2 linked regions of the Oryza sativa Japonica Group genome follow. The protein of the gene in region 1 interacts with the protein of each later gene in a pairwise test. Links are inferred from orthologs where the notes say so. Each region holds a gene or a part of one and is shown on either strand. Other genes may lie near its edges.

Evidence for each region.
Region 2: the proteins of splicing factor Cactin (region 1) and UPF0235 protein At5g63440 interact in binary tests that used the Arabidopsis thaliana proteins (3 or more experiments, as listed by UniProt). The link is inferred for Oryza sativa Japonica Group from reciprocal best matches to the Arabidopsis thaliana genes AT1G03910 and AT5G63440.

The regions. Positions count from the first base shown.
Region 1 is NC_089037.1:34,339,448-34,343,895, forward strand, and holds the end of splicing factor Cactin, read left to right. Parts: intron 1-95; coding exon 96-191; intron 192-612; coding exon 613-897; intron 898-1,184; coding exon 1,185-1,344; intron 1,345-1,439; coding exon 1,440-1,582; intron 1,583-2,180; coding exon 2,181-2,354; intron 2,355-2,878; coding exon 2,879-3,145; intron 3,146-3,229; coding exon 3,230-3,349; 3' UTR 3,350-3,691; downstream 3,692-4,448. UniProt on the Arabidopsis thaliana protein: Plays a role in pre-mRNA splicing by facilitating excision of a subset of introns. Required for embryogenesis.
Region 2 is NC_089041.1:11,606,278-11,610,773, reverse strand, and holds the start of UPF0235 protein At5g63440, read left to right. Parts: upstream 1-1,420; 5' UTR 1,421-1,677; coding exon 1,678-1,792; intron 1,793-3,378; coding exon 3,379-3,493; intron 3,494-4,396; coding exon 4,397-4,496. UniProt on the Arabidopsis thaliana protein: May play a role during early embryonic development. Probably involved in pre-mRNA splicing.

The sequences.
Region 1 (4,448 bases):
ATCACTCCATCTGTTCTTACTTTACAACTAGCCCAGATCTGAAAGAGTTCCCTTTTCCTTTTAACACTTAAACATATGTGATGTGCTAAATGCAGGGATTAACGGTGAAGGAAATGGAAGAGCTGCGCGATGACATTAAGATGCATCTTGATCTGGACAGGGAAAGCCAAATAAATGTCAAATACTGGGAGGTGTGTCTTTGTCTCAACATTCATTATAATATTACCCTTTACTTGAATAATCATATGAATTCATATGACTGATGTGTATGTTGCATAATGTATATTCCTGTTGATTGAGGTTAGTACCAAATGGCATATAGTCCAAAACAGTAATGCTAAATTTTTGAGATTTTGATAATTATGTTTTGTTGGATCGATCTTTGGCAAAAATATTGTGCCGTAGTATGTCAGAACATATTTTTTAGCTTGTTGTATATATGGTTTGCCTATAGGCCGTAGGTTTTCACAAAAAAAAAACTAAATCAAGTTATTCCTAATATGACAGTAGGAACTAATAATTTCTGTGATTTCATGTTGCTCTCTTGATCTAATTAGCAAGGATGCTCAGGGCTGTTGACCAATTGTCCACTCTTTATTTCAAATTCATCAGGCACTCATGGTGGTATGTGACTGGGAGCTAGGTGAGGCTCGGAAAAGAGATGCCTTGGATCGGGCTAGGGTGCGTGGTGAGGAACCACCTCCTGATGTTCTTGCGGAAGAGAGGGGCTTACATGCAAGTATTGAGGGTGATGTAAAGGATCTTTTGGAGGGTAAGACTTCCACAGAACTAGAAGAGATGCAAAGTCAAATTGAGTCCCAAATGCGCTCTGGAACAGCAAAAGTTGTTGAATACTGGGAGGCCATTCTGAAACGCCTTCATATTTACAAAGCAAAGGTATGCCATGCTTGCAGACACTAAAAGACACTCTTCTTTTCTTCTTGTAGCAAATGTGATTCCATCCATATCACACTATCTTGGTTGTTTCATTTGCATTACACAAATAAAATGTGTTCTGGTATCTTGATTTGACCTTAGTTCTTGCATCATAATCAGATCCTGGTTTGGATTCTTATATGAACTTGTGAAACTGCTTTGCCTAACTTTCTGAATTTGCAGTTTATATGGTTGCCCGGTTTAAATAGTGTATAATAGGTGAAAGCTTACCTTTTTCTGCATTGCAGGCTTGCCTGAGGGAAATCCATGCTTCGATCTTACGGAAGCATCTACATCGTCTGGAGCATCCTGATTCCATTGAGCAGGATAAGGAATCTGAGGATGAAATCGATGCTAAAGAGAAGGATGCAACACATATTGACGATGATGATGATGATGATGATGAAGGTTTAGTTTTATTTCTGTATTTCCAGTCACTCAAATACTCCCTTCCATGCTGTAACTCTAGCGACTATGAGTTCTTATACCTACTTTATGTGTAGATGATAAGCGATATTCGCCTGAACCTATAGCGGAGCAAACAGAGAGTCATTTGGATGAAGAAGACGGATCCTTTTCTCCTGAGCTAATGCATGGCAATGAAGATGAAGATGCAATTGATCCTGAGGAGGACAAGGCAGAACTGGTAGTGTCCTCACTCCTGCTACACTTAGCTTTTAATACTGCCTCCGTTTCAGGTTATAAGACTTTCTAGTATTGTCCACATTCATATAGATGTTAATGAATCTGGGCACACATATATGTCTAGATTCATCAATATATATATATAAATGTGGGCAATGCTAGAAAGTCTTATAATATGAAACGGAGGAAGTAAATGCTAAGAAAATAGTGGTAGTTTTTATGTAGTGAAGTGAACTGCAATTGTTTTACAAATTGGCAGACTTACTATTTATTAGACACTATATTGTGCAAAAAGATGAACAAGCCAGTACAATTGTTTAGGTATCATATAGATCTTTTCTTAAGGCACCAACTGGATTCCCATTGACCCATTCATGTTTACCCTGAGAAAGGCCTTTTAGTTTCATCGTGTACCATAGTACACTTACGGTCATTTGTCAGTGTAAGGTGTTATTATTGGCTTATATATTGGAGTTTACATACATGAAATTTTTATCTCAATTCAGGATTACATCATTAGGTACATTCGTGAGTTGATTGCAGATTTTAAATGTTGGCAATTCATAGAATATTCCTATGCACTTTGAATTAATGTCCAGGATCGAAAACGTGAAGCTGTAGTTATGGAGCATCAAAAGAAAGTTCAGCAGGCCATCGCAGTGAAGACAAGAGTACCCGATGAGATGGAGATGAAAGCAATGAAAGCAATGGGAGCTATGGAGGAAGGAGATGCTGTGTTTGGTTCAGGAGCTGAAGTGAACCTTGATTCACAGGTAACATGAATTTTTTTATATCTAGAGAAACAGCAATGCTATCACTGTACCACCTTGCCTTCTAAACAGAACAGTATCTGATACCCATATTGCAATATTCTGTGTTGTAAAAACTTTGTGGTTGGAATGCTTTTACCAGAGTCCAGCTCTAACTCTGCATACTTTGGCAAGTTTTTAGCCCCTACAGAGCTCATAACCACCCATGTCTGGTAAAAGGTGGTCCTGTTGAATCATGAACCTTATGCAGGATAGCTTTACACTAATTTGTTCATTGAACAACCCTCTACAACATGGTCTGTCACAAAGACCTTCACTGCACTTGTTATTTCCTCATTTAACCCCAAGATCATTTGATCTGGATTGTGCACATAATATTAGCCCAAAGCAATATTGTGGAGGCTGGCTTGCTTTTACATGCTAGAAGATTTATTTAACAACTTAAGTGCATTGATCTGCTTCCAGTGAACTTGAATGCAAGCTGACTTTGTTTCTGATGAAAATATGCCTGTTTAATGTGCTCACAGGTATATTGGTGGCACGACAAGTATCGACCAAGAAAACCGAAGTACTTCAATCGGGTGCATACTGGATATGAGTGGAACAAATACAACCAGACTCACTATGACCACGACAACCCCCCACCGAAAATCGTCCAGGGCTACAAGTTCAATATATTTTACCCTGACCTGGTGGATAAATCAAAGGCGCCAACATACACGATAGAGAAAGACGGGAGCACCGGTGAGACATGCCTCATAAGATTCCATGCGGGCCCTCCATATGAGGATATAGTAAGCCTCTATTCCCATATCTTCAAATTTAATCCTGTAGAGTTTCATGGGCACTTCACTTAATTACTCTGTTTTCTTCACCAGGCTTTCCGTATTGTCAACAAGGAGTGGGAATACTCACATAAGAAGGGCTTCAAGTGCACATTCGAACGTGGGATTCTCCACCTCTATTTCAACTTCAAGCGCTACCGCTACAGGCGATAAAATGCCACGCAAGGAAGACGTTTTGATCTCCATTGTGCTGTTAGAAGTTGGTCTTGCTTTTCTTACCTGAGAGCCCTATGCAAATAGGTTTGCTCGGATACCAACTCTGGAGTCGACTACACATGCTCATCCGAGATCATATGTACTAAGTGAGAACAGGGTAGCATACTAGCATCCCGTACTTATGCTGATTAGGCTCTTTGTTAGCGGTTTGAAAATAGCAACGAAGTCTCCTGTGTACATTGTAACTTCCTTTTTTCTGCTTTGGAAATTGAGTTCAGATGTCAAAAATCAACACATCTTTTTGGTGGCAATCAAACTAATAGTGCGTATATCATTAAACTTCTTGTTTCTGGAACTAGCGAAAGTGTGGAGTACTTAGCACAACATCAGAAGGCATGACCAATTGACTTATAGCTAAAAATGTAATAGCTGTTTTTTTTTTGTTTTTTTTGTTTTGCTCCTACACAACTTTGTGCTATTAACAGGATCAGAGATGCAAAGTGGCAGTTGGTCCGAGGCTCCTAGCTCCGAACCACTATCAGTTTGCAGCTATTGGCCTCTACATCCATCTTCTACACAAGATTATAAGGACAAGAGATGATTTTAAAAATGGAAGGCAAGTATTCACTCAAAGTTTAGATGCCATTGGATGGTAGAATCTAAACTGCTTCTAAATAAGTTACCGCATACAAAAAATAAATTAACAGAGTCCCCTTTTTCACAAGTGAGGTTTGCTCACTTAGTTCCCTTCGCACTGGCAAACTACGACAGTGTGTAAATTTCAGAAGGGATATTAAAACAATTACCAATGCAGCAAAGGTAAATAGTGCAATGGGCAAAATTGAATTGATTCTGAGGACAGGATATCTCCAAAACCACTAGCCACTTTGGACTTGGTGGCTAATGGTCGGGTTTCTCCGTCCAATTTCCAGAACAAAACAGGTCAACTCCTATGAAGTCAGAGACTCAGGAGTTGCTTTTAAAAAACAAGGAAGAAAGAAAAAAAATATTTTGAGTTGAGAAAATGGCAAGGCAAATATGATATACTAGTAGAGCACAGGAGCAAATAACAAAAGCCACAGGGAAATTTAAAAGA
Region 2 (4,496 bases), on another chromosome or scaffold:
GATTCGACTAGCTCTCGACGACTTGGCCCCTCGCAGGCTCCGGCTTCGTAGGCTGTGTGGGTTGTGTTGGCTCTGAGATTCGATGATCTATGCCCTCCCCGGGGGGTCCCTTTTATATCGCAGGTCTGGAGCTCTCCGAGTAGGACTCAAACATACCAGACCCAATACAATACGTAGGTAACCCAGTTCAGTCCGAGAAGGACTCTTCCCGTCTATTGATTTCGTGAAAAGTTTCCTTAGATCATAAAGGAAATATCCGCGTACGCGTGGGTATGCCATGTCGATACGTAATGTATATCAAAGGGTAGAGGGTATGCCTGACCCGTAACCCTGACAGAGATCTTAATCATTCAATTGCAAATTGAGTCACAATCTATCTTGTTCTTGCTTGTGTTCTTCGATTCGCATATAGGGATTAGCCTTCTTGGCGAGATAATCGGGTTTCGGTACGATTGATAACCAGAAAGACGTGGTGTCGCGATTGCAGGATTTGGATTGTGTTGATCGAAAGCCGGATTGTATGTGTCAAGTTTCTACCAAATCGAAAGCTATCCATATCTATCAGAAGATCGAAACCTAGTTCCTCATCAAATGGGGAAATTTGGATATTTTGATTGGCTTTAAGATTCACGCAGAAGGGGGAGTGGGAAAAATAGCAACATTGCACAACCGACGGGAGTGAACCCACGACCTCCAACTTCATGTGCGCGTGCCTCCCCGCTAAACTAAACTCCTTGTTTTGAATTTTTTTATGCATGTTACATACTAGTTATATGTAATTATAATGTAGTTATAATGTAATTATATTAAGTTGTACTATAGTTACATTTGAAAATTTTTCAATAAAAGAAACTTAAGGCGGTTTTTAGAATGTTTCGTTCATGCATTGTATTGCTTAAGCCTTCTAAACCTAGGTAACGAGTGCTTCGTTGAATTCTGGTTCCTTATGCGTCTAATTTGGTTTTATTTATTAAATATGCATCTCTTTTGATTTATTAATATGAGTTTGCTTTGGTCGAATTGTGAATTAGTACAAGTTGATTTTTAAAATGTTTAGAATTTAACATTTTAATAATTTTAGATTTCTTTCACTATTTTCACTTCTGGCCCTCTTTGCATAATTTAATAGGCTAAAATTATCTTTAAGAATCAACCTTTAAAATTCCAAAACTTTACAATATAACTTTCTTTATCGTATCTTATATATTCTTTACCTTTATATTAAAAAGCGTACCTATAATTTATAAACCAGTTTCTCCACTTATAATCGAAAACATATCGCCGCCCCAGTTCCATCAAATTCACTACGTCGCCAATTTTTTTCTCTTCATTATGAAAACAAATCAAGAGTGAATTTAAGTTTAGCTTACGAAATAAATCGTGGAACAAGAAAAACAACCCAAACACGCCCAAGGTCAGTGCTGTAATTTCTCTTTCCTGATCCGACCGGTCGCAGGCGCAGCGCACGTCTCCTCCTCCTTGCGACCTCGTCGAGTCCACCACCAACCTCGCCGCCGCTGCTACAGCCGTCGTCTCCCACCGCACGCCCCGCCCCGCCCCCCACCCATCGCCGGCGACGCGGATCCCTCCTCGACGGTGCGCCCGCCTGAGCAGCCGTGCTATACCTCTGTCGGGGGCATATTCCCCGCCGGCGCAGCAAGCTGAGCGGAGAGGAGGATGCCGAAGCGGACGACGCACACGTACTCCAGCGAGGACGCCCTGCCGGAGGGGCCCGAGTCCGACCTCTTCGTCTACTACTGCAAGCACTGCGCCTCCCACGTCCTCATCACCGGTCAGCTTCTTTCCCCCTCCCTCCTGTTCGTTTCCCCTTTTGGGGAATTCCCCTTCTTGTTCGCCCAAGAGCTCAGGTTGCTAAATTTTACCAGATCCGTGTTACTCTTCTGGATTAGTTCTATGTTACACTAGTATACAGCTCAGCATTCAGTGGGAAATCTTTAGGTGTAGTTTTGATCTAATCATTGCGAATTACTCACAAGCATGAGCAGCACAGGCACAGCGAGCATAGGATTTCACCTTCTAGAGAATTCATGTTCTTTGTGTGGGTTCTAGCTTGCAGATTTTCACGCTTGCTTATATTACAACGATGAACGAACAAATCTGGTCTTGTTTCTCTGCATATAGTATATGTTGTTTACAAGTATACTTGAAACCACCTACCATTTTGGGATCAAATAAAATTGTTATGTATGCATACCAATTGTTGTTTGATAAGAACTGTAGACCTGTTTCTGTAGCAAACTTGTGATATAGGCCCACATACAGTAGTGCATTTATCCGAGCTCACCAGAATCAGTTTTTAGTGTTCTGCATGGTGTGTTGGTATTGTTTTGTACAACAGAATGTGGGAGTCAGAAAACCAGAGGCTGGGCTATCCATGTAGATTAGTCTCCTATTTCTACGAAGGAATTATTCATTGATGTTAGTGGTTATTTTGTCTTTTACCCTAGGCCTTGCTTGTGAACTTTTGTTCAATCTGAATGTCTTATGTTAATCTCCATTTCATGAAACTTGTCCAGAATTAAACCAAAAAACTTTAGAGATGCAGAGTGTTTGCAAGGGTGACTGCGTATTGTATTCTTCCTTTGGTTAGTGATTTGGGTAGATTTTGCTGTTATGCTATTGACTGGAATCTGAGCCCTAATCCTAAAGATATGCCATTTGAAGATGATTGTTACGTAAACAAGTGAAATTAGGTCTGTTTTGCACGACATAATGATCTAATTGATAGCAAGTAGGTTACATGGGACCAATTATAGTGCTTCAGTTCTGCTAGGTCAGCAGCATACTTGGTAGTCTATGATAATTCTTGTTTTTTGGCAGCTCTAATCCACCAGAAAAATTTTCGAATTTCATTTGAACCCTGTTTGGTAAATGGGCTAAAACCTCTTTGGAATTAACTACACTAGATGTCCGGGGAACAACCATGTTAAGTTATTAGGCTCTTCATATCTTTTATCTATTCCTTTTGATTCAGCTCAATAACTGACTCAGAAGTTGAATCTAATCCTTCAATCATGCCAACAACAATGTGGTGGATTTGGGTTCTGTTTCCTGATTTTCGTTTCTTAGAGAATTAGCCAAAGCTACTATCTGCAAGCCTACCACCTTGTTATATGAATGCCATTTGTAACTGTTGCAACTCTATCTTCAACTGGAGGGATTGTGCTTTATGACATATTGAGTCATTCTATTTAGTTGCTAACCTGCCAAAGGATATTTGGGATCACAAAATTAATTGCCGTGCTATATAATGCTCACCATTTTTTAAGTTTAAGGAACATGATTTTGTATTTAGTATCTATTGTTGAGACTGTAACTGTCTGGAAATTTCCCCATTCTGATGTGTTTATTCTAAAGATACCCAATTGCAGAAAATGCCAAAGAGGAAGACTGACAGAGCACATGTACTAGACAAGAAAAAACATCTCTCAAGGCTAAATGTGAAGGAGGCAGGAAAGGTCCTGTTGAAACGGTATATTAGTCATCCTATGAATCTTTTCTTAGTCTTAGAGGAAAACACCATTCAGTTTCTTAGATATTCTTGCATTATTTATAGATATTAAGTGGCTGTTTGGTTGGTTACCTGGGACATGCCTGAGATGGACCTGAACTTCTGATAAATATTCCTGGCCTTAGTTTGTGAGGATTGTTGGAGATTGTACTCGAGTGAAGAATAGAAAAGCAAAATCACATTTTTCGGTAGAGAAAGTTAAAATTTAGAATACACAATACAGTTTAAAACATACCAAATACTAGAATAACATCCTTTGCCTCAAAAAATAAAGGAGAAGAAAAAACGTCTGGAACTCTGGATTAGCTTGGTCCCATCCTACCACAAGAGATAATGCTGATGAGCTGAACCTGTCTGTATATTGACTATGCCATGGCAGCGATCGCTTCTCAATAGATCTAGTGTCACTCTGGCTGGGTTCTACATGGCCTGTACCATGCCTCTGCTTCCAGGCTTTTGAGCTCAGGCTGCCACCAACAGATCTTATGTTATGTGTACCGTGATTGTAATCTTCTTCATATTGAGTTCAACTCCTGGTGATTACTCATCCAATTATCAGGTATTATGAACTGCAAAATTCAGTGCTACAAGTTCTTTTCTAGAAGAAAGCACAGTACTGCTTCTTAACACAGTGTGTCTGTGCACAGTTTTGCCTGACTTAACACCATAACAATAGATTTTGTTGCACACATTCTCCCTTCATTAATTTCTTAACTTCTAAACTTTTATAGGCATTCTGTTTTGTCATCACCATTTACAATTTTCATCACCATTTACAATTCTTATATGCCATATCTGGATCATTTTGGTTAATATAATTACTAGGTTGCACTCCAAACTTTGATGATTCTCTAATGTATGCAGGGGAGAAGGGAAGCTTGAAAAGCAGTTCCGTATGAGTTGTTTGGGATGCGGCCTTTTCGTTTGTTACCGATCAGAAGAGGAGTTGGAGCTAGCTCCATTC